4 linked regions of the Lytechinus pictus genome follow. The protein of the gene in region 3 interacts with the protein of the main gene of each other region in a biochemical or structural test. Links are inferred from orthologs where the notes say so. Each region holds a gene or a part of one and is shown on either strand. Other genes may lie near its edges.

Region 1 (6,862 bases), on a different chromosome or scaffold from region 3:
CTGATTTTTCAACCCACTTCCAAGTCCATTTCTCACGAACTGAAGTGTCGATCCCTTTCACCCTCGCCTCTTCACCTCAATCAAGAAATTTCCGTTGAAAAGCCATAATTTTTCACAAACTTTTCTAGTTTTTTCGCTCGCACGAAAGAACTCCCGTATTGACAAATCACCGTAATCACGCCTAGCGCGATAACCCAGGGAGCTCCCGCCCGTTTCAAGGGCCGAAGTTCCCTGGGTTATCCTAGCGCCTGCATGAATTGAATGCAGCCATCGCGCGCGCACCGAGTACACGCTGTTTCCCCCACTGTAACGCACGACGGTCTGGTGGGTACGGTAATACAAAATGGCAGCGCCCATGATCAATACCGACCGTGTGCGATAAACTTCAAACAACATCAAACTTCAAATAGCCGTCGAAGAATCAAGTTTTCGAATGCATGACTGCAATTTTCATAAAAAGTAACGACAGCAAGTTGCCAGAACTTATAACTTTGTGTGAATTTGGGCGCAATGTGCCCTTCATTTTCTAGCAATTTTTGCGAATAAGGCATTGAAAATAGACACCCTAACCCCCCTTCATTTCATACCAGATTTACATCGATCTCAGAGACCACCTATGTTGGTGAAAAAATATCGGGAGAATCTCAGGCCTGACCTCTACAATCAAGTAGTTAATGTCATTTTTCTACCATCTTGTAAATTTTTGTTGCCATATCATGATCTTTGGAGGAGAAATGGGGGGTGAGCATATTTATGCTAATTTATTCATGAGATAATGTTTTTGGCTCTCACTACTCCCAACACTAATTTGCAAGTTGCACCATACATGTACCTCTATGACTCCAGCAATGCTGAATGATATGTGTATATGCTGTGTGTGCGTGTGTCATGTGATCACGAGAGTGGCTGAATGTGCAAGTGCAAGGTGCAAGGGGAGGGCACATTTTCCTTTTTGGATGAAAAATTTGACAAGCAAAAATAAAATTTTTTTACCTAAAAATGCATATAATTTCGTCCAGGTAAAATTTGAAAAGCAAAAAATATTGAAAATATTCCTATTAAAAATATTATGCTGTGACTTTCAAAGGGGGGCACACATGTAAAAGCAGCATTTTACATTTAAATTTTGATAATGGCTCTCAAGGGGTGGGTGGATGTGCCCCCCCCCTTGGATCCTCCACTGGTCATGTACAGGAGGCATGCTGCAGGCTTCCCAAAGTTTTAAGTGGGGCATGAAAATATTTTACTTGCAAGCATTAAAATGAAACATTTAAAAGGGGAGGGGTTATAACTTGTAACTAACCTCTGGTGTCAAGCAATGGCAGATCCAGGGGGCACAGTCAGCCGTGCCCCCCCCCCCCCCCCCTTGAGAGGCACAAATAAAATTTGTAATATAAAAATGCCGAAAAAACACAAGTGTGAAGTGTGCCCCCCCTTCGAAAGTGAAGACTTTATTTTTTTTGCTTGTCAAATTTTTCCTCTGGAAAATGTGCCCCCCCCCCCTTTGTAAAATCCTGGATACACCTTCTGGTGTCAAGATACTATATTTGGAAAGAGAAATACCCCTTCCGTCCCTGATGTAACCCATTTGCTGTATAAAAAAATATTTGAAGAGGGGGCTTACGAACCCCCTTTGTCTCCTTAGGCTTCACACGATGATTGCACATGAATTGTAATTGCACACCAGGCACATACGCCACGTGCAGATTCCCCAGCTCTTATACATGTTCTACCGATGACCACTGCACTAGAGACACACAGAGCTTGATCCATTCGACCAATTCGGGCCATTCATTTCACCCACAAGTTGAATGCGACTTTTGTTATTCATTAGAGGTACGTATCGTTATTCATATCAAACAAAATTTTCAAAAGGGTCATTATTTATGCCAGTTCATTCTCACTCAAATTCAAGAAAAATTATGACTCATTGGTCTGACATCGCCTTGCGTTTAAACTTTCAGAACGATATGTGACACACTTTTGAAGAAAATTACCATCGCCCAAAGAAAAAAACCTTCCTTTATTCATGTCGGCTTTAAGAAAACGTCGCCTGAGAAATAAAAGATAAATAAAGGCCGAACAAAAATTGATAATATTCATAAATTATGCAAACGAAAAATCAATTTAAAAACACATACAATTTTGCTCACCCGTTTCATATTTTCAGCATCAAAAGACCTTTTCGCACTCGAAATCATGCTCGGAAAGACAGAAAATTGATGTTATTGTTATAGCAATGATAAGAGAAAATAAAACCCGGAAGTCAGATCCTGCGAAACTCGATATTTTCAAGAAAGCAACCTTTTTTTCTTATGTACGAGTGACAAGATCGTCTTTGTAAAATGGATTATCATATATTATGGACCTCAAACTACACAATGTTATTGATAGTTTTCAATCAATGTAATAATTTTAGAGAGCATAAAGTAATTGCATTTTTCCAGTAGATCCGGTAATAAAGGTAATAAAGTGGTAATAAAGACTAACTTAAAGTTAAACTAAAGTAATATTTTTTCCCTTGTACGTACCATTTTCATTTCAAATTTTTTTTTGAGTGTTTGTAGAAATTGTTATTGATCTCGCCAATTTAACATGTTGACAGATACGAGAATGTCTTAAACTCAGACCATCTGTGATAGCTTAAGTTAGGAATAGGTCGGACTCGGAGTTGGACTAAATTCACTTTTTCATCGATATCCACGGATCACGCAACACACAGCTCTGCTTCATTCACACACATACACACACTGTATGCATGACACACTATCATTATGAGCTGAGTGACATAGCAAGTATTTCTACACCGTACACGAAATCAAGCAATGAACGAAGTCTAACGTTAGTCGGTGAATGTCGGCTTGTCGCGATATCACACGTGGTTATGGTAATTCATATAAGAAATAACGCTAGATTCAGTGGTAAAAATAATGTGTTATTGCTAATGTGCATTCTATGATGTCTATATAGTACTTTCTGTAGAATGTTCTGACCAATATTGCATATTCTACTCGAAAATCATAACGAAAGAGACAAAGTCATACCTCTCAACCTCAGCGACAATTTCTCGGATAGTGCATTGTTCACCGGTTATAATTATAACCCGGCGCAAGCTCACGTGACCAGCTGCAGGGAAATGTGGCTTGCAACATTTTTAGTATTGTACAAAATTATCATACATGTAGTATACTTACCAAAGCAACCCAAATGCAGTCTAGGACTTGCTCGAATTACAATCAAATTATCTCTTGATTTAAAAAGTTGATAAGTATGTAGACAAGAACAATTGGTAAAATTGCATTTCTGAGAGTTTTCTTCTCAATTTGACCGACCAACGTTCGGTAGCGAGGCTAAACGACGTGTACAAGACAGTATATCTATTTGGTTTGGTAGTATATGGAGTGAGATAGACCCCAAATATATTGCCAGTGATATACGGAAGACACATATTTTTGCGTAGAGGCCTACGCGTATCTCGTATACAGATAATTATGTCATGTACTACGTTAAAAGATGAAGAATGGGATCACTGGAACGATTGAATTAATGATAGTAGGCCTGCCTATAAATGAGGCCTATATTTAGTATCATTTATAGTCCCGGTTTAGAATATAAGATATGGGAATTTCATCAGCGCCGACTATGTTGTTGTTGTTTTTTCAGTATTATGGTTGAACCCCATGATATGATCTACAGCTATAGTCTTGGGTCCAACTCATCACTGGATTATCATTCGGCCTCGAAGATATAATCTTTTTTCGGAATCAATATAGGGACCAAGCAAATGTTTGAATACTCTAGGAACATTAAAAAAGAGATAACTATAAAGGCCAATAAGCTATCAATTGTTAAACATGTACTTACATGATATGACTATCCTTTCCCCTGAGCGTTGATGAGTAAACGCTCAAAGGAATTTAATTTGAAGGGGAGGTTAATGCTGATGTCATGGTCTTTTAATAGACAAATGCTATCAGTCCGAAGCAAATGCGGAGGCGCCGCGTCCGCCTGCGGTTGTGGTAAAAGGGGGTAAAAGAAACATCATCGAGAGGGGCCAAACATACATAAATTCCTGACAGGCCTAAAAAATAAAAGAAATACAGAAATTCATTTCCCCCTTCATTAACTTGACGTCATGAATGAACAAGTACGGATTTGTTTTATTAAAAGTCAAGTCCACCCCAGAAAATTTTTATTTGAAGCCAAATAGAGAAAAATCTATAGCAGCACACTGAAAATTTCATCAAAATCGGATGTAAAATAAGAAAGATATAATATTTTATAGTTTCGCTTATATTGATCACATTTCAGTGACCTATATAGACAGACGATGATGCGGCTCGCTCACTCATTGTTTGAATTATACGATATTTCATTTCAAGTATAAAAAATATATATTTGGGCAATCATCATACTGGAATCTGACAGAATAGGTCTAGCTCAAGAATATATGTCAAAAAGTTACTCCCATTATTTTTGTAAATTTTAGAATTGGCAGGACTTTTTCAAAGTGTTTTTTTTTTAATTGATACGCTATCTAGTAGAGTATCTTCAAGGCGTAGGGATGGGGGGGGGGGGGGAGGTGGACAGGAGTTGTTGCATCACCAAACTGAGTGTAGCGGGGGTTTCGGATTCCGGTGACCCGGGTTCGATTCCCAAGTGGTGCGCTAGTGCCCTTTGGTAAGGCATTTATCCTCATTACCAGGTCCCTCGGAGAGGACCTTAAGCCGTTGGTCCCCTGGTTGCTTGTTCACAGGCATTCGTGCTTATTTAGCAGTCAGGTAAAAAACCTCGGTATAAGATAATCTTTTTCCATTGCCTGGGTCACTGCTTTCACTACTTAGATACCTAACGCGCCTCTCTCAATCCACAAGAGTTTGCTGTGTTACAAAACCTTTGCAGTATATATTCAATGGCAAGTTGTGAATTCCTTTCCAAAGCAGACAGTTCCAAATGTAAGATTCCCACAAGAACGTTCCTGAGAAGTCCTCTCTCCCAGGAAAGTTAGCTAGAGCACGAGTCTCTTGGTAAGACAGTGCACTTGACCCAAACCACATCTTATTTTTAGAAGACATCTTGCCGGTAGCAGGGGGGGGGGGGGCTGTCCTCGATCCTTTCAATACTTTGAGGTGTGGCTAATTGGGTTACAGTTGTCTCTATGCGCTTGCCTGACATACCATAGCAGTATTCATATTATAACCACTTTGGACCTGGATGGTTTAACAGCCAACTGCACCATCTAAGAGCACCTGGGGTGTTTCACAAAGGTGTATATACGTATGACTTATAGTCGCAGTTATATACCGACACATATTATTATGATATGCAAAGCGCAATCTTCAGATCAAGTTAAATCAACTTTCCTATAAAACGTAATATGCACAAATGTAAATATCTCGGTGTGGTACTAAATGAATATTATATAACGTGGAATGACCAAATTGATAAAATGAAATGCAAAATTACTTCAAGTCTATACTGTTTAAAACGCGTGAGACCATATATATCTCAAGATACTGCTATGTCATTGTACAAATGTCTTATTCTACCCCACTTTGATGATTGTTCATAATATTTGGAGAAATGCAGGGAAAACCAAAATCAATCGTCTTATATTGTGATGCAGAATAGGGCCCTTCGAATTGTGCTAAAAGTTGATTCCTTGTTTAGCACATCAGCATTATACACCAAATTGAATGCTGAACCAATCGTCCTTAGATGGAAAAAACAAGCACTTGTATTAATATTTATGTTACTCAATAAGCTTTACCGCATTTTATATGTAATAGGATTAGTCTTAAGCAACATTCTACCCTCACACTCCGTAACTCAAACAATATAATAAACCTTAAAACACCCAAAACAGACTTTGCACGAAATAGCAGCCTATATCTTGCCATACTTGACAGAACGTATTCGCACTTTACCAAATCTAAATTTATTTGAATCTGAAATTGAAAAAGTCCTGAAATCTTGATAATCCTTTTTTTTTACAATTGTGTTCTTGTTTTTTCTGTTTTGATTTTGTTTTTCTGTTTTCTTTCATCCTCCCTCTTTGGTTTTGTATATAGGTTTTAGTTTTACTTATTTTTATTGATTTGTTTTTCTTATATTGTTTGTGTATTGCACGGCCTCTCTGAAAACCAGCCATTGGCTGATCGAGGGCTTTTTACCGTGTTTAAATAGAATAAATCAAAATCAAATCTTATTGATTAATATAGACAGTATAGGGCGTGTCCTCTTGGCATGATCTAACCAATGCGGTCATGCCTTTTCTAACACACGCAACTAGGCATTTTAAGTGTGATTCTAAGTCATTGTGAAACACCCCAGGTCATATTTCTTTTAAATAAAATTGGCTCATCTAAAGTTGTTGATATACCATCAGGGCCCCATTGCATAAAAGTTAGTATCATGAAAACTTTGCCATCCAATTGTAACTACCATGGCAACGATGCTCAACAGCAAATCAGAATCAAGGATTCCATGGAATGATGGAAGTTACCATTGAATGCAAAAGTTGCCATAATAGTAACCTTTATGCAACAGGGAACAGGTGAGGAGCTAAGTATGGGGCAAATACATTAGAACAAATCCATGTTTAGCTACAAAGTATTCATCTAAAAAAATCTGTTGCAATGATTTCAAGAGTTAGGTCAGGACCACAACAAATTCAAACCTATCTGGGTTTTATTTTTTCCTTTTTATCACTCAATCACAAATGCAATTCAGAGCTATTGAGGGGGAAATTATTCCACGTTTAATTTCAATGAGATATTATTTTTTTAATACTGAGAGAAGGGAGCATTTTTATCGCTACATGTTATTCAACCCCTATTAATTTGGCACTCTAACCCTTCAG
Region 2 (7,756 bases), on a different chromosome or scaffold from region 3:
GACAGCCTCAAAATGCAGCCTTTATCATCAAAATGCCTGAATCGTGTGTAAAGTGAATGGGTGCGTGAAACATTTTTTGGAAAGTCAAAAAGGGGCCTAAGCTTTCGATCCTAGCAGAATCTTCGTCGGAGGCAACCAACATTTTTTGGTTCAATCTGAAAATGACTGGCCAAGGTTTTTTTCCAAGAAAATCATACATTTCTTTCCAATTTTTAATAGCTTTTTGGCACACTTACTCATGAAAATATAAAAAACATTATCAACTGAATTTTTTTATGAAATAAAAAGAAATTCATGTTAAATCTTAAATTAAATAGTTAGGTGCACAGACATGCCCCCTGCCCAATTTATAAGTATTCATTCTGTGTTTCAATTGAATGGTTAAAGAGAAATTAGTTTAAAGAAATTGTCCAATAGCCTGAATCACCTGGTCTGAATAATACTTTTGTTTTTAAAAAAAATTGAAAATAGGTGACCAAGTGCTATTTTTATGGTAACTTGTAAGTTGAGTGAGGGGGGGGGGGTTCAAGTGTGCCAAATATAAGGATATTTTATGCACTGACAAAGTATCTGGCTCATTGCATTAACTCATTGAGTGTGCTTCTGGGACCCGTTTCATAAAAGACTTGCAATTGTTGTAACAGGGATCAGCAGCCAATCAGAATCAAGGTTTCCATGGTAGTTGCCATAATGGCAAAGTTACAACAGTTGCATTAACTCATTGAGTGTTCTTATACCCTTTTTACACACGCTAAAATTTCCTTAACCCCGTACTATAGGTGGGGCTAAATTGCCATTTAGCCCCACCTATAGTACGGGGTTAAGCTTAGCCCACTTTCTTTTTACACAGCATTTTTGCAAAGTGGGCTAACCCCACCTTTAGTACGGGATTATTTGGCCCTGCAAAAAAGCAGGGTTATCCCAGCAATTGCGGTGCTAAGAGCGATAGTACGGGGTTAAGATCGCTAGTGTAAAACGAAAGTGGGCTAAGCTTAACCCCGTACTATAGGTGGGGCTAAATGGCAATTTAGCCCCACCTATATTACGGGGTTAAGGAAATTTTAGCGTGTGTAAAAAGGTACGAGTGAAGTACTTGTACTACGAATGATCGACAAAAACCACTAGTCCGGGGTTAGCGAGTTTCGTGTGTGAAAAGCAAGCATTCCTTATCCGGGGTTAGCGATAACAATTTGGCATGTGTGAAAAGGAAAAAAAAATAGTACGGGGTTAAGGATAGTACGGGGTTAGCGATAGTCCGGGGTTAAGAAAATCCTGTGTAAAAAGGGTATTATTGATCTTCCTCAAAAGCACCATAGAAAGACACCCCCCTTCTTCTCTCTTCCTCTTCTTCTTTCTCTTCTTCCTTGTTTTCCTTCATGTCCTTTTTTTCTTCTTCTCCCTTTTTCTTTTTCACCCTTCTTCCTCTTCTCCCTTCTTCTTCTTCACCCTTCTTCTCCTCCTCCTCCTCCTCGTTTTGTTCTTCATTTATTCTTCCCTCCTACTTCCTTTTGCTTGCATTGTAGATGTAGATCTACATCTACTAAATGATGTGGCATTCTTATCTTTAAAATTGTTTGGCATCCCTTTCTTTATTTTGCACGAGTACTCTTTGAACCACAACAAGCAGTACAGGCGCACAGCCAATATGGGAGACTGTCTCCCATGAGAGAGATTATCTCCAATATCAGAGACTTTTGTGAAGAATTTGGGTATCCAATTTCAGAGACAGTCTCCAGTTTAGGAGACCAATTTCCTTTGTTCACATTTGCTGCAAAAGGATTACCTTGGCGGCAAATAAAAATGTGATAAGCAGATTCCTCATGAAAAATTACCCCTTTTCACCGTCTATTTTAAAAATTCACCGTCTACTTTTGTTTTGATAAGGATTTTTGTTGTCATCCACACACAAAACAAATGGGTTTCTGACCTCAGCGAGACAAAATTTTGGGTGGAAAAAATTATGCTTTTGTTGGTGTTTCTTTTGTTCTTTTGCAAAGCAAGTCTCTAATATGGGAGATTGTCTCCCATATTGGAGAGTCTCCCATATTGGCCGTGCGCCTCTACTGAACAAGTTAGCAAATTATTTTTAGACTTGTCTCAATCATTGACAATGTCATGAATGTCAATGCATCTCCAGAGTCCAGAATGGTTACTGACACCGGACCATCCAAGACCAACTTATTTCTAACTAGTTAAAGCCAAGGCATTATCCTGGTTTAAGTCACCACTCCATTCATTGCCGTTCATTTCGTCAATGGCAGTGACTTCTTTCATCTCCCATTGACTTTGTACACAACGAGCGCACACACACTGACACACACAAGAAGAGAGGTGACTTATTTCAGGAAAAGGCCGTTCTAATTAGGGCCTACTAAGTTAGAAAATCTATTTCGTCACACAACAATTTCAACAAACCATGCAATAAATTAAATGAAAACTCACTTTAAAACTGCCACAATTTTTTTTTTAATGGGGTAAAAATTTGGTCAGTTGGTGTGGACCCTTGCACAATCGCTAAATAAGTAGAACATTTATAAATAAGAGAGAAACTGAAAGAGATGACCGGCGATTTCGCTCCGTGCAGTATCTAACGTTAGATCTAAACCGAATCACGAAATTGTGATCCGCCTAATGCGACATGTGTGCATGAGAATCGCACGCGCCGATTAAGGAAATGTGCCTACACTCAATGCCGTCTAATTCGATTGCTAATAATTGCCTTGGCTTGGGCTTGGCTTTAAAGCCTAACAAAAATGACGCACACCACAACGAGACAACGACTCGAAAATGTTTATAGAGAACTTACAACTTTTCGTGTTACAGGGCAGGGCTACAATCAACCATTTAGAATATTAATAATCGGAAGGCAAGGTGGAGGTCGGCGGCGGTGCTCCTGCACTTGTAGTTGTGGAGTGTACCTTTATACACTGCTCGAGCTCTGGCGACCAATAACGCGCGACCTAGTACCTATGAGGTGAAAGTAGCGAGCTTTTGTCTTCTTCTTATGTTGGTTTGGGTGGCGATTAGTCATATTTGACTATTGTCGCCATTGACTCTATCTATAAAATCTCACTTCTCACATAATGATATTATTACCAATATGATGTATACATATATGAAATATTTTTATTGTGCATCTTTCTAATATGAAAAAGATAATTATAGTATATACAAAAGTTTGTCGTAACTCTTGTCAAAATGGCATATAAACAAATCTTCACCAAATACGCTTGCCCTGCCCTTTCAAAGATGCAATCACTGACCGGTCAGCACGGAGCGGAAACGTAGTAAAAAATCTATAAATCTCTCTAACTCATAATAAAACATCAAATTGATCAAGTGTCACACTGGAATATGCTCCTGAACTGAAAACTGTTTTTAATTGCGTTATAAGCATTGAATCTGAGAAGAGCAAATCCAAGTAGATTAGAAAATAACTAGAAAATAAATAGAAATACATTCTTGGTAGAACAATATTGTATGCCGCAATAAGCTTTAACTTCAGCAAAATATTTCATTCGGGAATTTGCATAAAGGTTGTTAATTTCCTACCTCAAATCTTAAAATGTGACATTTTGCGAAATGCCGCGTATATGACTACTTAGTTGAAAAACAAGCCATTTCACAGGAGGTTTTTCATGTAGGAATCTGAAATGGCACCCACATAATCCTGATATATTCTTTTTTCGTGTGAAAGGGTTTAAATTAGATAAATGACACATTTCAGAAGGTTTATAGGATAATTATTCCTTGTAAAAGGCTGATAATCCATGTTTTTTTTATTTACATTAGAAAAGTTTAGATTTCCGTGGATTTCCGTTTAAATTCTATCATCATCATTTTGCTAGATGTCTAAGCTTTAAGATGATACCAAATTTAGCTGCCCGTTTTTGCCCGTTTTCATGTTACAGCCGATTTTACTTGACACAACACCCCCAAAACCTGTTCAAAAACGGTCATTTTCATACCGCGCAGTCATCGCTGCGCACCGTGTGGGGTGTATACATTTCCTTTCATTTTTGCACGGCGAGGACGATTCCCCTTCCATTCCTTGAAAATGACATGAATTCCAGGCTTAATGCAAACAAAATAAAGGTTGATAACGCAAATTAGGGCTACCCGCCCCTCTTCCAGAGATAAAAGTTACTTGTAGAATAATTTCAGCCCAAAACCCTCCTCATAGTTATTCATTCGTGGTGTTATATACTCTGCGTTTTACCCAAGTCTACGCCGCTTGATAAAGCACGGTTAATATTTTTCAGATTTTTAAGTATTTTTTTATCTAATGATCATTTTGATGCCATCAAATTATTTTCAGAATCTCTTACGCACTTTTTAGGCATATGAGAAGCATAAACCACCGCTCACTCTGGTCAATCTTAAAGTAACACATAACACAAAGATTATATACTGCACATTGTTTAGCGTAATTTGTCTTTTCGCAGATAGATTTTAAGTAGCCAATCAAAATTTGGTATCAAAGTGACGTCATATCGGCTTTAAATTATGTTCAGTCGATTCTACGCCCAAAATTACCCTCAATCAACATGTTAAAGTAAAAATATAACACGGAATATAATTTTGGCGCACTTTCAACTCATTCTGGCCCACTGTGCGACGCCTCTAAATCTAGTCGGAATTTAAATAAGCCTATTATAAGTTGTAGTTTTTCTGAAATAGGCCTATAAGGGGAGGAGGTGTTAAAATGTAAATTAATTGATTAATAGAGGACAAGTCCACCCCTACAAAAAGTTGATTTAAATAATAAGAGAAAAATCCAACCAAGCATAACACTAAACATTTCAGCAAAAACGGATGTAAAATAAGAAAGTTACGACATTTTCAAGTTTTGCTTAATTTCACAAAACAGTTATTCATGCTTTGAAAGTTGAGAATAGGCCTACATTTGGTTGATCTTGTTCTCCAAATATTGATACTTCAATCACATTTGGCTGCAGGGTCCTGGGAAGGATTTTTTTTTACAGGGGTGGTGAAATTTGACAAGCAAAAAAAAAAGGGGGGGATCCATTACAAAATGCAGGGCAGTGATGATTGGGTTGTATTTTTTTGCAGCCTATATATGTTGAGTATCCCATTCAGTAATTTAACGATGTAGAAGATGTACTTTTATTTGCAAGTTCATAAAGTGCTCCATATGCTAGGTTTAAAGGACAAGTTCACCCTATCAAAAAGTTGATTTGAATAATAAGAGAAAAAAACACATTAAGCATAACACTGAAAATTTCATCAAAATCGGATGTAAAATAAGAAAGTTATGACATTTTAAAGTTTTGCTGTTTTCACAAAACAGTTATACGCCGCACATCCTGGTCGGTATGCAAATGAGGAGACTGATGACGTCATCCACTCACTATTTCTTTTGTATTTTATTATATTACTTTGTGAATTTTACTCTATTTTATTGAGGCTTCCAGCCTGGACCATCCCTTAAAGCATGCACGCGCGTGTTTAAGATTCTGGGCATTCTTAACGCATTTTTATCATGAAATCGTTGATAAAAATTTACTGTCATGAAACATGGATTTTAAGTATAGTTTGTTATAGAATTACTACAGGGGTATACATTATACTCACCAATGAAAATGCGAACGCGCAGCGCTAGCTGCATAGGTTTTGACAATCAAACCTGAAAAAGGATATTTTGAGAACTTTATGGAATACACGAAGAGAATATAGGTACTTGACAAATCAACTAATGCGAGCGCGCAGCGCGAGCTGAAAATGTTGATGCCCAGACAATAAAACAGACATTTTGCAGAGCACTAATTTTGAAAAACAATTTGTAAATCAACCGAAATAATGAATGATCGACGTCCAAACTGATTTATGTTTTGTATATTGACTTCAAAACTTGATATTTTCAGCTCAATATTGAGCAAGATATGTATTTCATCGATCATGCAATGCGAGCGCGAAGCGCGAGCGAAAATTTGATATAGTGACATACATTTTTTCCCCCAAGTCTTCTCCTTATTTCATTCACTCGTCTTCCTCCTTTTTTTTTCCTCTACTTTTTTTCTCCTCTCTTTTGCCTTTTTTCCTCTTATTTTTGCTACGCCAATATGGGGGGGGGGGGGGCCTCGACCCCGGCCCCCTGGATCCGCCTATGCCCCGGGGGGGGGGGGGGCACTCGACCAAAAAAGAGGTAGGGGTGTGCCGCGGGCGAGACAAAAAACGGGGGCCTTGGAGCGGGCTTGTTGTAAAAAGGAGGGTCCTCGGAACAGGCTTCGGAACTACAAATGTTTGTCAAAAGGGGGATCCTTGGAACGGATCGCCAGCGTGTACGTGAGTGCGTATGCATCCCTATGGAACGGGCATGATATGCGTGCATGATGCAGCTAGCGCGGCCTCCGACGGGTGCGCTCGCGCAGAGGCGATGGTCGGACAGAGCTCTGCGGCCGCTTTTCACCAAAATTGCAGCTCATTGTAGCAGATCAATACGACCGGAACGGCGTAACAAAAATATGCGAAGCTTTGGAGCGCTTTGGAGCGCTTTGGAGCGGATTTCTTTCTTCTTTTTTCTCTATAAGGAGAAAATGCTATGCTTTGGAGCGGCTTTCTGTGTTCTTTTCCTCAATAAGACTAAAATGCTATGCCTTGGAACGGAAATTTGAGTGTAAAAATGGGGGTCCCCTCCGAGGCACATACCCACTATGCATTATATACTGAGTGCCCCCCCCCCGGGCCTATGCCTCTAGCTGTCGTATACTGTTATACTAGTACGTTCAAAGTCTCTAAACAAATCCATTTCCTGATAACCAGTCCTAAGTACCCCCCCCCCCTTATCGTTAAATGCCCTCATTTACATATATAACACCCATCAGGCCCTGATGTATGTTATATATAAACAATTCTCAAGCATTTTGAGACTGTGATTTTTTTCGCTCTGTCACTACGCTCCCTTGCATAATATTAATAATGTATTTTTTAAAGGGGGAGAGGGACTAGCTGCTGGGACAGTATAAGGCTACCCCACAATGGGCCATTTTCATTGTATTGAATAAACCAATGTACAAAAAATTCTCAAGCCCCCTGAAGCCACCCCTCCCCCCCCCCCCAATCTTTTAATAGTCTAGAACCGCGCCTGCCCCCCTTCTTTATTTCTTTCTTTTCTCCTCTCCTTCCTTTTTCCTTTTTTCAATTATTTTTTTAAGAGGATGAATAGCGGGATATCGATCCCATCCTTAGGTATACGTGCTGTGATACCTTACAAATAGTCTTATAATTTCATGATTTTGGTTTGTCCTTTTGTAGACAGGGTACATAATTTTCCCTTCATGTTTGGTCTGATTACTTTACTCTTTTTCTTAATGGTCGCGCTGTATGGCCCGGCCCACCATGAAAAGTTTGTGTTTATAAGCGCAATATGGCGACTGTTCGCGACAGCGACACCAGCCTTTGGCTTCACAATAAACTCGGTGATAATGATGATCTTTGGTCTGGAATTACAAGTATTAGCACTCAACTTCACCAAGATGTTCTTAGAAACACACATGATTGCTTTCAGACTCTACACCCGACTGTAAAACTCAAACTCTTGATGGCAATTCTCCATATGCCTCTTCGAAAAGTGGAAGAGGTGAGTATTGTGGTCCCATCTATTCACAAGTTTGTATGCAGGATGAGTGAGTTAGCTGATACAGAGAGCTGTCAGAATAAAGCCTTTAAAGGAATATGTCTTAAATATGAATACCAAAGTCATTGCATTTTTTTTCAATAATAAGTTTAACACTGG
Region 3 (7,140 bases):
CTCAGGCAGGATGTTCAGTAATACTTGATTAACCTTATGGCCAAGTTTCATGAACTAGGTCCATATACTTTCTAAGTTATGCTGTCATTTCAAAAACTTAACCTAAGGTTAAGATTTGGTGTTGACGCCGCCGCCGCCGTCGCCGCCGCCGTCGCCGTCGCCGCCGCCGCCGCCGTCGGAAAAGCGGCGCCTATAGTCTCACTCTGCTATGCAGGTGAGACAAAAACTAAATTGTATAAATAATTATCTGATTAATGTTATGTAAATTTGGTGCAAAAGTACATGAAATTGCTGATACACTTAAATGCTTGTAAAATCAAACGCACACAAAATAATATGCACAATTTTAATACACAGTCGGCTTGTGTGAGTGGCTGTATATGTGTAATAGAAAACATCAAGTTCAACAAATCAGAATAAATACTTTTAATATTTTGAACATGAAAAATAAGCAAATAAGCTACATGTAACATCATGTACATGTACCGGGTAGTAGTTTTAGTATAATTCTTAATTGACCATGCAGTGGTCCAACTTTAATTACCCCTTATATGGGGGTAAGTTGGAACACTTGCGATGGTCTTGTTCAAGGTGGATTTTTTCAGTAACCATTCATAGAGTTAAAGGGATGGTCCAGGCTGAAAATATTTATATCTTAATACATAGAGTAGAATTCACTGAGAAAAATGCTGAAAATTTCATCAAAATCGGATAACAAATAATAAAGTTATTGAAGTTTAAAGTTTAGCAATATTTTGTAAAAAAAGTTGTCATGAATATTCATTAGGTGGGCTGATGATGTCACATCCTCACTTTCTGTTTTCTTATGTCATTACATAAAATCATTTTTTTTCATTATTTCATACTTGTGTGAATAATATGTCTCCCTTATAATGAAATAAGTTGCAGCAATAAATATCTAATCCACCAAATCAGCTGTCAATCCAATTTTTCTAGTTCTTGGAGAAAAAAATTTGAATAAACATAATTTCATATAATAAAATACAAAAGAACAAAAGGGGATGTGACATCATCAGCCCACCTAATGAATATTCATGACAACTGTTTTCACAAAATATTGCTAAACTTTAAAATTCAATAACTTTGTTATTTGTTATCCAATTTTGATGAAATTTTCGGCATTATGCTGAGTGAATTCTACTCTATTTATTCAGCTATAAATACTTTCAGCCCGGACCATCCCTTTAAAGAATTTTATGGGTACATTTGTAGCCTCTATGTTTAAAGCTGATATATTGTTTCTTGAATAAAATCTCTTTGGACTTTACAGCCATTTTTGTCAAAAATATTCCAACTAACCCCAATCTCCCCTAATTATCTTACCTTTGTCTGCTTGATTTATTTTCCAAAGCTTTGCAAAACGATCGTGCGCAAATTAAGGTCACAATTTTTTATGACACTTTTTCATCCAAGCGCGCACTAGTCGATCGCCATGGAATTTTGAGATCGCAATACGAGCGAAACCCTTGACCTACTTTATAATTCCGTCAAGCGAATTTGACTTTGGGATCTTGCCTTCCAACTGGTAGAACTTTATGATTTTGATTAATTTTGTGTGAACTGTTGATTGAAAATCAACTTCATAATTCTTAAAATGTGCGCAAATTATGTTTAAACTTTAGTCACGTAGTAGAGTACGCTTAGCCTTAGACTTTTTTTTAAAATGACGTGTTGCTTCTCTTAAAATTAAAGTCTTAGCAAAAAGTGACAGTTTGTTACTAGTTTTTGAGAGCGAGTATTTGTGGCCCGAGGGTTCGGTTAGGTGTAGCGGTAGTGCAGTGTTGTGGAGCCTACATTATAGTATGGTCAGTTCCCCCATGTCTGCGCGGTCTCCCAAGTCTGCGCACCCGCGTATCTGCGCGATTCTAGTAAAAGAAGATACGCAACGAGCACGATCTTTACACATGCAATACATAGACAGGTATTCATAAAAAAATCCGACTCAAAATGGTTGAAAAATAATGAATTCAGGGCATTTCATGTGACGGCCTCAAAATGCAGCCTTTGTCATCAAAATCCCCGAATCGTGTGCAAAGTGAATGAGTGCGCAGACATGGGGTACCATTTTTTTTTTTCAATCTGAAAATGACTGCCCGAGGTTTTTTCAAGAAAATCTTATATTTTCTTTCATTTTTTAATGAGAAATTTGGTACACTTACTCTTAATAATATAAGGAACACTATTAACCAAAGATTTTGTGAAATAAAAAGGAAATTCATGTTAAATCTTAACTCAAATTGTTAGGTGCGCAGACTTGGGGCCCACCATCATACATGATCATGAACCATCGCCTGCTGAGCTGAGTCTAATCATAATTCATATTATTATTAACCTTGTTTGTTCATTGTTGAATGAGCATGATGAGTGGTCTACGACTAGGGATTTTACTTTTTACTAAATTTTAGATCTCGTCTCTTTTTAGTTTTACTCACTCTCCCTTGGAGTTGGATTATACACATGATAGTGATACACATTATATTACTAAACGTAAGTTATAGACACAGGGCCTTGTCTAATTCATGTTTGGAATAGATCTACACTGCATCTGCAGTGCAGAACATATTCTGAACATCCTGATTCACACACAAACATTCATGATCCATTCCATGCACTGCAACTGCACGTCCAGAAAAAAAAAGTCCAAAACAAAAAGTGTGAATTGTGATTGTAAATTCTAACTCACCTTTGCTATTCTTTTTAATGCCATTGCGACTATACAGTAAACAGGTTCTAAAGATTGTAAATAACGTAAACAAAGGCACCAAATGCCCAGAATCTAGTGGAACTTGATCATGGAATCGTTACTCATTAGCCTTTTCGTTGTCTATTTGTTGTAGTTTGCGTATTTTACGTGCATCTTCTGCAAACTGCATTGCAATCGAATCTACGGTACGGTACGGTACGACGAAATTACCATTCACGCACGCGCGCGACCTTGAGGGCAAAAGAAACGGGCGTGCGAGCTACACTTGTTGAAGTGATAGCTGGCGAACAGCGCGTACGACGTCATGATCATATTGCCAAATACAGGCAATACGGAAAGAACTTACATCACAGAGCCCTCATTCGCTTGAACACAACATGTGATTTGCTGTAGTAACTATAGTTGCGTAACGTAACAAGAAAAGTGAATCATCTCTAACGAAGTTAATTTCACAGCATTGGGAAGAGATGATAATCGGATTTCTCGTATTCTTAGAAAAGAGGTTAATTTCAGGCAGCCTTAAACAATTTGAATTGCATGAATAAACCGAGGAAACATAACCAAACAGGCATTATAATTATAGAATTGCATCAAAATCAGATAGCCCGATAAAATAATTAATGTAGGCCTGAATTGCAGGGCCGTAGCCAGAAGCATTTTGTTGGGGGGGGGGGGGGGTGTACCAGCTAAATTTGCCAACTAAATTTGGCATGACAGCGCCAACGTGAGCACAGGGGGAGTCTGATGGGGGATGTGCCCCCCCTACAATAATCAATTGCTAAAAGATTTTGAATTTTTAGAATTGAATTAGTGGCATTTGGTGAATACTTTAAGGTAAATTATATACAAAGATATACAAAGATATTTGCACTTTAAAAATAAACATTTTGGATCAAAATAGAAAGGCTAGTGTGCCGTAGTTGCTAACTTGCAGTATATAATGATATACCCTATGCATTAATAATATCAAAATCAAAGATTTATTAATTTTTGATTGACCTTCTGTGCAAGATGTCTCAACTAAAATTTCAAGAATGCTACTGCTAACAGTGGCGTACCGTGGGTCACGGCATGGGGGGGGGGGGGGGGCACCAGCAAAAATTTAGAGTCATTAAGTGGGCGCGCGTAGCGCGCTCAATTGCCAGGTATACTGACCTGATATAGAGACATTTTAAGGACTGTGCCATTAAACGGATATGTATCTTAGTGATCAAATAATGCGAGCGCGAAGCTCGAGCTGAAAATGTTTGGTATTCAGTCCTAAAAAGGGACATTATAAGCAAAGTTTTGTAATCATGATACGTATCTGTCTTCAAAACAAACAATGCGAGCGCGAAGCCCGAGCTGAAATTTTTTGTATAACTTAACCCTAAAAAGGGACATTTTCAGGACTATCTTTTGGAATTTATGAAGTGCGTACGTATCTCATCATAGTCATCTAATGCGAGCGCCAAGCGCTTGCTGATTTTGTTAGAATTACACTGGCACATGAAGCACTTTTTGTGGTCATTGTAATCATGAACATGATACGTATTTCACTAATGAAATATTGCGGGCGAGAAGCGCGAGCTGACAATTTTTGAAATTCAGACCTGAAGAGGGGCATTCTATGGCTTGTTTGTAGGAATTTACTATTTCACTAATTAAGTAATGCGAGCGCGAAGCGCGAGCTGAAAATTTGTTATAATTAGATCAGAAAAAGGGACATTTTAAGGACTGTCTTTAGGAATTCGTGCACTGCAGAAACGCCGGTGATTTAACACCAGCCCGGCCGGTATCTATATCGGTCCACACCAATGCGAACGTAAGCACAGACTGGAAATGTTTTATTAAGGCCTTAAATCACTTTAAGTATATAGTCATGAAAAAAGCATATGTCACTACATAAAACAATGATAACTTGAAGTGCGAGGAGTGCGAGTTTGGTGCATAATCATATACCCTTTTTACACACGCTAAAATTTCCTTAACCCCGTACTATAGGTGGGGCTAAATTGCCATTTAGCCCCACCTATAGTACGGGGTTAAGCTTAGCCCACTTTCTTTTTACACAGCATTTTTGCAAAGTGGGCTAACCCCACCTTTAGTACGGGATTATTTGGCCCTGCAAAAAAGCAGGGTTATCCCAGCAATTGCGGTGCTAAGAGCGATAGTACGGGGTTAAGATCGCTAGTGTAAAACGAAAGTGGGCTAAGCTTAACCCCGTACTATAGGTGGGGCTAAATGCAGTGGCGTAGCTAGGATTTTTTTCCCGGGGGGGCACTGGGGGTCCTTGCTTTTTCAGGGGGGGCACCGACCATTTTTCCGGTGTGTGTGTGTATGTGTCACAACTTTGGGCGGATCCGACTTTCGCCAATAGGGGACGGGGCCCGAAATTATCTTCACCTATATCAGTCACTTCTTAGTTTTATTCTTATAAAACAACATAAACATGAAATAATCTCATAAGCCTGATAAAAAGTGCGAGTGCGAAGCGCGAGCGATTTTTTTTTTACTCTCATGTATTTTTAATCTAATTTTCTGGGCAATGTTATGTGTGATCCTGAACAAGATTCGTATGTAACTAGATGGCTACTGCGAACGCCAAGCGCGAACATAAATTTTTATCAACTGTTCTAGCATTATCGAAAAGGGACCTGTTACGGACTGCTTACAGTTACCCACGAAGACGGTATATATTTCGATAATGCGAGTGCGAAGCGCGAGCAAATTTTTTTTTACATTCCGACCTAAAAAATTGTCATTCTAAGCACTTTTTGTATTAATAAATGGGATAGGTATGTAACTAAACAATTGATGCGAGCGCGAAGCGCGAGAGGAAGAAAATTGAGATTTTAGACCTCAAAGCGGGACATTCTATTCATATTTTGTAAATCATAAATAGGATATAGTCAATTGGGTATCATTAATAATGCGATCGTGAAGCGTGAGCAGACAATTATTGATATTCTGATGTGAAACTGGATAATTCAAGTACATGTACATTTTAAATAAAGAACATGCAGGCTATCGCGCGTGTTGTAGATGTAGACCTAGAATCTGGGCATTCTGAATACATTTGTTACATGGAACATTATGGAATACACGTAGACAATATGAACTTCGCAAATCAAACAATGTGACCACGCAGCGTGAGCTTAAAATGCTGATATATGTAGACCATAAAACGGACATTTTACAGAGCACTTAAATTTGTAAATGAAAAAAAAATAATGAAAGCTCGATGTCGAGCTAAAATATGTTTTGCATATTGACTTCAAAACTTGCTCCATATCAGCCTATTGAGCAAGATATGAATCTCATCGAACAGGCAATTCTGGCGCGAAGCGCCAGTAAAAATTTTATATAGTAACATAAAAAGATTTGTTTTTTAATTACATTATTTCATTCACTCGTCTTCCTCCTCTTATTTTCTTCTTCTTTTTTTCTTCTGTCTTTCTTCTTCTTTTCCTTTTTCTTTTCCTTTTTTTCTTTTCTTCTCCCTTTTTTCTTTCCTTTTTTTTTTGCTCTGCCAATTTTTTCTGGGGGGGGGGGGGGGGGGCACCTGGGGGGCACACCAAATCTCAGGGGGGCACGTGCCCCCCCAGGCCCCCCGTAGCTACGCCACTGGTTAAATGGCAATTTGGCCCCACCTATAGTACGGGGTTAAAGGGATGGTCCGGGCTGAAAATATTTTTATCTTAATACATAGAGTAGAATTCACTGAGCAAAATGCCGAAAATTTCATCAAAATCGGATAACAAATAATAAAGTTATTGAAGTTTAAAATTTAGCAATATTTTGTGAAAACAGTCGTCATGAATATTCATTAGGTGGGCTGATGATGTCACATCTCCACTTTCCGTTTTCTTATGTTATTACATAAAATCATAATTTTTTCAATATTTAATACTTGTGTGAATAATATGTCTCCCTTATAATGAATTAAGTTGCAGCAATATATATCTAATGCACTAAATCAGTTGTCAATCCAATTTTTCTAGTTCTTTGAGGAAAAAAATTGAATAAACCTAATTTCATATAATAAAATACAAAAGAACAAGTGGAGATGTGACATCATCAGCCCACCTAATGAATATTCATGACGACTGTTTTCACAAAATATTGCTAAACTTTAAACTTTAAACTTCAGTAACTTTATTATTTGTTATCCGATTTTGATGAAATTTTCGGCATTTTGCTCAGTGAATTCTGCTCTATTTATTAAGCTATACATACTTTCAGCCCGGACCATCCCTTGTAGCGTGTGTAAAAAGGTACGAGTGAAGTACTTGTACTACGAATGATCGACAAAAACCACTAGTCCGGGGTTAGCGAGTTTCGTGTGTGAAAAGCAAGCATTCCTTATCCGGGGTTAGCAATAACAATTTGGCATGTGTAAAAAGGAAAAAAAATAGTACGGGGTTAAGGATAGT
Region 4 (7,455 bases), on a different chromosome or scaffold from region 3:
CAGTTCAAGTGTCAAAATTAAACACTAAAACTGAACAATGGTCAATTGCAAGGGGAGAAGATATGTGGAATATACCACCGGACACCAGTATGGGATCGCGGAAAAGGTTACTCAACTAGGATTGCTACACTCCTACTTAGACTTATTGTTATGTATTATTTACACAACAATATGACAAAATAACCATTCTTCGGGCGAACAATTAGTAAGTTATTTGAATCTAATGATTTTTTTTACAAATATAACAAAAATTTACCGGATTTCAAATGCCTGCCATTTCTTTAAAAAAACTAGGAAAAAAAATCCACCAACGTTATCAGTTAGCATGGTTAGGGAAAATTCTAGCAAATGTACTACAGTGCTTTTTCAATGTATTAAAATTTAAGTAAATATTAAAAAATAAGGATTTTGCAAAGTTAGGCTTATATCAAATTTCTGCTAATATATTTTGGGAAGTTTGTATCACTCATCAAAATGACTGATAATTCGAAGTCTTTCCCACATTTGCTTGTAAACTCGGTATAGTGGGTGATTGCATTACCGACCGGCCTTGACCTTGTATTACCGAACGCGCGCATCGTACGCGTCAGAAAATAATTTCATACGCTCAAACTTTGCTACATCCTTCCAAAGGAAACTTGAATAGAAATGATAAAAAATGGTAAAAAACACTTTTTTCACTCTTAATATTCTAAAAATAATAAAATATGGTCAAACTCAAAGTAGCTCATCAGCATGATCAGTGATTTTGTTGTTTTCTCAACTTTTTCCATAGAAAAAACACATTTTCGGTAATACGATACCTTTTTCAAGTGACCAAAAAATTAATGTGTAGAGGGGTTCGATTGGAAGCTAATACTAATAGTAATATCGTAAAAGGGAAAAACGATTTCGGCAAAATTTTTACATGTTTATATTTTGTAGGTAATTGTGTATTTATGGTGAAAGTTTGGTGAATTTTATGAGAATAATGTGTTTGATATGATTGAATTCATGAAAAGTGTTTGTAATGTAAATGATAAACATTTATGATTCATATTCAGACTCATAGTCATATTCTAGACCAAAAGCTTCGGTCTCTAGTGTTATGTTGGTTGTTCAGCTGAACTCCGTTGGCTTCACTCACCAAATACAGAGACCGAAGTTCTAGCGCGATCTGTACAGGGGACTCAATGGCCATATGTTTATGTGTGTTAAGGACGTTCCACAGTTATGTTTGTGCGCATTATGATCTGCGCATAGTTTACACTCTGCGCGCTGACGTCACAATGGATGAACAGGTGATTAATTAGCTGCGGGTATGAGCTGATTTTTCTCATCTTCTGCACTTTAACTGCAGATCCGATGCATTATTTCATGAAGCTAAAAACTGAAATTATTCCATGGACCATTCAAAAACAAATTCTCTACAATTTCAAAATACTTTACTCTGCAGTGCTGCCAAGAATCACGAATATTAAACCGAGTTTGAATGAATGGTATAGTGGTTTTGATTTTTTCTTCACATAGATACAAAGCATTCGGCGCATTTTTGGTGTTTTAAAAAGCACATTTGCTCTAATAAAAATGCTGATAGTTTAAAAACAAGCACATGAACCCCTATTTTTTAATGTTTGTACCTCTTAGGTATACCTTCCTCTACAACTCTGCAAATTCTGGTGAAAATGACATGGATTTTGAATAAAGTGCAGCATTTATTGTACTTTTGTAGTTTGTTACTAAAAATTTCACATTTTTTAGATTGGGATTTTGTTATCTTTTACCCCATTTTTAAGAACTGACAGTGCTGTTAAACTTAAAATTGCAAACAAATAGCACTATAAATAGATTATCCATTCTAACGATACAATTATTAACTCTCTTGCGAAATTTGATGACTTTTTCATGTATTTTGACTGAGTAATAGAGGTTTAAACTCATTGTAGTAATCTTGGGCGGTCTAAAAATGCCAAATTCTTTCGAATGCGCAATTCTTAAGAACATCAATTTGGGTGAACTTTGAAGCTCTATAGCAAAAAATCAAGCACATGGACCTATGTTGTATTTTGCACATTTCGAATAGTAAGGTTCTAAAGTATCTATGTGCAAAGTTTGGTGAAAATGACATGGATTTCACTTTAACTGTGGAACGTCCTTAAGTATGGATAAAACAGGGCAGTGAAGTTGCGCGACAGCCGAGGTAAGTCACTGTTTTTGTTCCTTTTAACTTGATTTTCCCCGTTTTTTCGCAATTAATGCCAAGAGGGAATGTTAATTTGCATTTCGGTCGCGTTAATTTTCAAAAGTTTGATTCATTAAAGACAAAAATTGAAGAGCCCCGACGGGGGGATTTTGCATTGTAAGTCCCCTAATGGTGGCTGCACGATAGCGAGCCATCTGTGTATGAGGAGAAATTTAAAAAATAAAAAAATGTTAAAAAACTCCTCGAAACAGACGGCTGCCAGCTGTCTAAGTCATATTCATACTCAGTCATAATCACTCATACTTAGCCTTACTAAATTTCAACGATAATGACGATTCCATTGTTTTTAGCATTTTTTTAAGGATTTTAATATCGCAGACATTTTGGAGAGGGAGCAAAGCGATGCTTACAAGTGTTGCTTACAAGATTGCTTGGCGAGAGGAGAAGGCCTAGGCTAGTTTCAATGGCGCGCTCCGCTGAGTTGATTGAGGCCGTTACGTGGCAGAGGCCTAGCCCTACGCTACAGACTTCCATGCCGAAGCAGCCCGACATCGACAACAACGGGCGAGCGAACGGGTGGTGTATGCTGCAAACCGGCGAACTGGACACACGGTCATCATGAGACATGACGATTTAGACTTGAATTGAGCCGAGGGTAGGCTAGCTTTATGCGGCTCAGTCAGACTATTCTTACGGGATACCATGGCTTGTGATGTAACTTACTTTTCACCTTGACTTTCATCTTTGTCTTTAACGTTAAGAACGGATTTGACTCCCTGTCTTGAGCAATCCCAGGTACCGGTACACTTGCGATCGATCGCTGCGCGCTGGAAGTCGGCGCGGCTAGCTAGCTATCGGCGGAACCTTCGCTCGTGATCCGTTTGAAAATTGGTAGGCACTTATGATCCAAGTTTGAAAGGAGACTCGTAAAATGACGTCAGTCTCGCCGATGAATATTCATTAGATCGTGGTCGTGCGTGTTCAATACACACTGCGTGCAGGCATGCAGATAGTTATATGCGAGGAACTTTGGCTCCAGAGACAAGTTGTCAAATAACGTGTGTGTGTGTGCGTGTGTGTACCATCGGCTGGTAGTATGCCATGCTGTCTAAGACTTCAAACGCGTCGGAGAGAGTGCATGGCAATTCGGTAAAACGAAGTTTCCGATATAAAGAGATAATAAAATAACACTATGTACAGTACGCCCGGGGGGCCACTTACATTGACGAGTGGATACCATGCGCGACCAAAAAAAACACGTAAAAAGGATGTCTTTTTCAAGAGAGGGCACGTTACGTACGTAACGTGATAAGGGTGTCAAAAACACAAAAATATTGAAAAAAGGGTATCTATTTCCAGTACGTTGAGAGGCAAATGTCAGATCAGGGGAGGCAGGAGTACAATCAGGTTTTTTAAAGGGAAGAATAGTGTAGAATAAAAGGTATTATATATAGCCAAATGATCTAGGTGAGGGAAGTGAACAATGATATGTTTTTAAAAAAAAGAATGAATATACCTTACCTGAATATTATGGTGAAGCCAATTTAAAAGGAGGTGAGACAAGTTTCAATGGAGGTTTTAAAAAAGAATAAACTGTATTATATGGTGAAGCCAATTTAAAAGGAGGTGAGGCAAGTTTTAATGGAGGTTTTTAAAAAGAATAAACTGTATTATGGTGAAGCCAATTTAAAAGGAGGTGAGGCAAGTTTCAATGGAGGTTTTTAAAAAGAATAAACTGTACTACAAATTATGGTGAAGCCAATTTAAAAGGAGGTGAGGCAAGTTTCAATTGAGGTTTTTAAAAAGAATAAACTGTACTACAAATTTAAAAGGAGGCGAGGCAAGTTTCAATGGAGGTTTTTAAAAAAGAATAAACTGTACTACAAATTATGGTGAAGCCAATTCAAAAGGAGGTGAGGCAAGTTTCAATGGAGGTTTTAAAAAAAGAATAAACTGCACTACAAATTATGGTGAAGCCAATTTAAAAGGAGGTGAGGCAAGTTTTAATGGAAGTTTTTAAAAAGAATAAACTGTATTATGGTGAAGCCAATTTAAGAGGAGGTGAGGCAAGTTTCAATGGAGGTTTTTAAAAAGAATAAACTGTATTATGGTGAAGCCAATTTAAAAGGAGGTGAGGCAAGTTTTAATGGAGGTTTTTAAAAAGAATAAACTGTATTATGGTGAAGCCAATTCAAAAGGAGGTGAGGCAAGTTTCAATGGAGGTTTTTAAAAAGAATAAACTGTACTACAAATTATATGGTGAAGCCAATTTAAAAGGAGGTGAGGCAAGTTTCAATTGAGGTTTTTAAAAAGAATAAACTGTACTACAAATTTAAAAGGAGGCGAGGCAAGTTTCAATGGAGGTTTTTAAAAAAGAATAAACTGTACTACAAATTATGGTGAAGCCAATTCAAAAGGAGGTGAGGCAAGTTTCAATGGAGGTTTTAAAAAAAGAATAAACTGTACTACAAATTATGGTGAAGCCAATTTAAAAGGAGGTGAGGCAAGTTTCAATTGAGGTTTTTAAAAAGAATAAACTGTACTACAAATTTAAAAGGAGGCGAGGCAAGTTTCAATGGAGCTAGGTTTTTAAAAAAGAATAAACTGTACTACAAATTATGGTGAAGCCAATTCAAAAGGAGGTGAGGCAAGTTTCAATGGAGGTTTTAAAAAAAGAATAAACTGTACTACAAATTATGGTGAAGCCAATTTAAAAGGAGGTGAGGCAAGTTTCAATGGAGGTTTTTAAAAAAGAATAGACTGTACTACAAATTTGAAAGGAGGTGAGGCAAGTTTCAATGGAGGTTTTTAAAAAGAATAAACTGTACTACAAATTATGGTGAAGCCAATTTAAAAGGAGGTGAGGCAAGCCTCAATGGAGGTATTTAAAAAGAATAAACTGTATTATGGTGAAGCCAATTTAAAAGGAGGTGAGGCAAGTTTCAATGGAGGTTTTAAAAAAATAATTAACTGTACTACAAATTATGGTGAAGCCAATTTAAAAGGAGGTGAGGCATACATATGTAATGTCTTTCAAGCTGTATGACAAAAATATTCTTTTCCATCCAACATCAGCTTCTACTATTTTTTAAGGTTAGTTTTTATTGTCATGTTGGCAAATTGTGAAATAGTTCATGTTGAAATATGTTGTATTACCTGTCATGCATTTGTAATGTTATTTTTTTAGCATATATTCTGTCATCATTTTCAGTACATAAAAGTTTATTCAATGTATGCCTTTACCAAAGTTGGCCATAAGCACAGTGGGACCAACTATCACTGAAGACAACACAACAATTACTCAAAATATATGCATAGCCTTATGAATGTACAAGTCAATAAAATCTACTATGACTACATTGCTTTTTTTTGTGCAACACAGTCATATTTCACTTGGATCAATTCAAAATTGAGTGGTGTTTTGGGGGTAATGCTATGGTAACTGCAGTTCTGTTGTCCTCTGACAGTTGGTGTTGTAAGGATGTGATTGGCAGTGTGTGGACGTCATGTTATAAGAGAAAAAAGTTAAAGTGAGAGTGTTGGCTTTGAAATGGACTCAACCTATGAAAGTTAAAGTTTGTGCTGCAGAAACTGGTGTGGTAGTGGGATGATAATGATGATGAGGAACAGGGCCGGTTTTCAATGCTACTCTTAAAGCCACAATTTCAAGTATATTTTACTCAGTATTTTGCAAAAGTAAAATACTTATCCATCTTTGGTATTCAATTGCATTTTTTTTGGGCTAAATATTTTGCTTAAATGTAAGTCAGCCATCTACTAGACTTAAGTCTACATATACAAAAATGATACGCACAGAAATACATTCACACATTTGGCACTATTTGGCTCAAAATTTATAACATCACAATGGGTATTAGTATTTAGTTCAATTTGGATAAGGTAAATTCTGAGATCTGATCTGCATACAAGTTTAAGCATTTTGATAAGCAAGCCAAATTGCTAAGTAAAATACTTACAAAATAAAAACTTAGAATTTAATAGGCGGCCGAGGTATTATTTTCTTCCAGAGGACATGTACAGATTTCTTGTTGACAAAGGATGACATGATGATTATTTTGCAAATATGGCTTATTAAAAAATATATTATGTATATTCCATTTCAGTGACAATTGCATTTTTGGGGAGGGGATATTACGTATTTGGGAATGGAAAAGTTCAAAATTAATGCAAACTTAACCTATTTACGCAGGGGGGGGGGGGGGCTCTGAGCTCTGCGATTTAAAAAAAAAGTCTTTTGCATGTTTTGAGACCAGTTTTGCGAAGCCCGGGTACTGGGTTCTGAAAATTACCAAACAATTTGTAAGTGCATATCAGACAAAAATGGCTCAAAATTGTGATATTTGTGTACCACGTCAATGGAATATGCGTTTTCAACCAAAATTCATGAATGCCTAATTGTTTTTAGTTTTGTTGAACTAAACTGATTTATTTTATCTGTTACGAGAGTCCGATCGAGCATCGTTGAAAAAAAACAATGCAATACAAAGGTAAAAACACAAGAAATACATTATCGAAGAACACCACAAAGAGTTTCTAAACCAAAAATTAGAACATTTGGAGCTTTATTTAGGGAGTTAGAGGAATAGGTATAGTATACTAATTATGCACAAATGAGCATAATCAATTAATAGCAATTTGCATGAAATAAATAACTACACAATTTTGTGGATTATTAAAAGCAATTGCGATCTTTCTCTTCACTATTCATTGTTTTTAGAAACCTCATTGAAGACTTGCCTCATGCACCTCTCAAGATGGCTTCATCATTTGAATTATATTCTACACTTATCATTCTTTAAAAAAAATCATTGTAGACATGCCTCACCTCCTCTCAAATTGCCTTCACCATAACTTGTAATACAGTTTATTCTTTTTAAAAACCTCCATTAACTAATTACCTCACCTCCTTTTAAATTGGCTTCACCATAATTTGTAATACAGTTTATTCTTTTTAAAAACCTCTATTGATCAACTTGCGTCGCCTCCTTTTAAATTTGTAGTACAGTTTATTCTTTTTTAAAAACCTCCATTGAAACTTGCCTCACCTCCTTTTAAACTGGCTTCACCATAATACAGTTTATTCTTTTTAAAAACCTCCATTAAAACTTGCCTCACCTCCTTTTAAATTGGCTTCACCATAATACAGTTTATTCTTTTTAAATACCTCCATTGAGGCTTGCCTCACCTCCTTTTAAATTGGCTTCACCATAATTTGTAGTACAGTTTATTCTTTTTAAAAACCTCCATTGAAA

The links.
Region 1: of the proteins of ubiquitin-conjugating enzyme E2 D1-like (region 3) and ubiquitin-like modifier-activating enzyme 1, one has a biochemical effect on the other in vitro, tested with the Homo sapiens proteins (8 studies listed by BioGRID, with this or other methods). The link is inferred for Lytechinus pictus from reciprocal best matches to the Homo sapiens genes UBE2D1 and UBA1.
Region 2: the proteins of ubiquitin-conjugating enzyme E2 D1-like (region 3) and E3 ubiquitin-protein ligase MARCHF5-like form a complex in vitro, tested with the Homo sapiens proteins (4 studies listed by BioGRID). The link is inferred for Lytechinus pictus from reciprocal best matches to the Homo sapiens genes UBE2D1 and MARCHF5.
Region 4: the proteins of ubiquitin-conjugating enzyme E2 D1-like (region 3) and anaphase-promoting complex subunit 11-like form a complex in vitro, tested with the Homo sapiens proteins (6 studies listed by BioGRID). The link is inferred for Lytechinus pictus from reciprocal best matches to the Homo sapiens genes UBE2D1 and ANAPC11.

What each region holds. Positions count from the first base shown.
Region 1 is NC_087247.1:36,375,542-36,382,403, forward strand, and holds the start of ubiquitin-like modifier-activating enzyme 1, read right to left. Parts: upstream 3,026-6,862; 5' UTR 2,541-3,025; coding exon 2,532-2,540; intron 1-2,531. UniProt on the Homo sapiens protein: Catalyzes the first step in ubiquitin conjugation to mark cellular proteins for degradation through the ubiquitin-proteasome system.
Region 2 is NC_087256.1:23,777,553-23,785,308, reverse strand, and holds the start of E3 ubiquitin-protein ligase MARCHF5-like, read right to left. Parts: upstream 3,022-7,756; 5' UTR 2,807-3,021; intron 1-2,806. Other genes in the region: negative elongation factor A-like, read left to right, coding at 7,388-7,600. UniProt on the Homo sapiens protein: Mitochondrial E3 ubiquitin-protein ligase that plays a crucial role in the control of mitochondrial morphology by acting as a positive regulator of mitochondrial fission and as an important regulator of immune response.
Region 3 is NC_087262.1:4,913,023-4,920,162, forward strand, and holds the start of ubiquitin-conjugating enzyme E2 D1-like, read right to left. Parts: upstream 3,001-7,140; 5' UTR 2,729-3,000; coding exon 2,705-2,728; intron 1-2,704.
Region 4 is NC_087249.1:3,773,962-3,781,416, forward strand, and holds the start of anaphase-promoting complex subunit 11-like, read right to left. Parts: upstream 3,013-7,455; 5' UTR 2,925-3,012; coding exon 2,884-2,924; intron 1-2,883. UniProt on the Homo sapiens protein: Together with the cullin protein ANAPC2, constitutes the catalytic component of the anaphase promoting complex/cyclosome (APC/C), a cell cycle-regulated E3 ubiquitin ligase that controls progression through mitosis and the G1 phase of the cell cycle.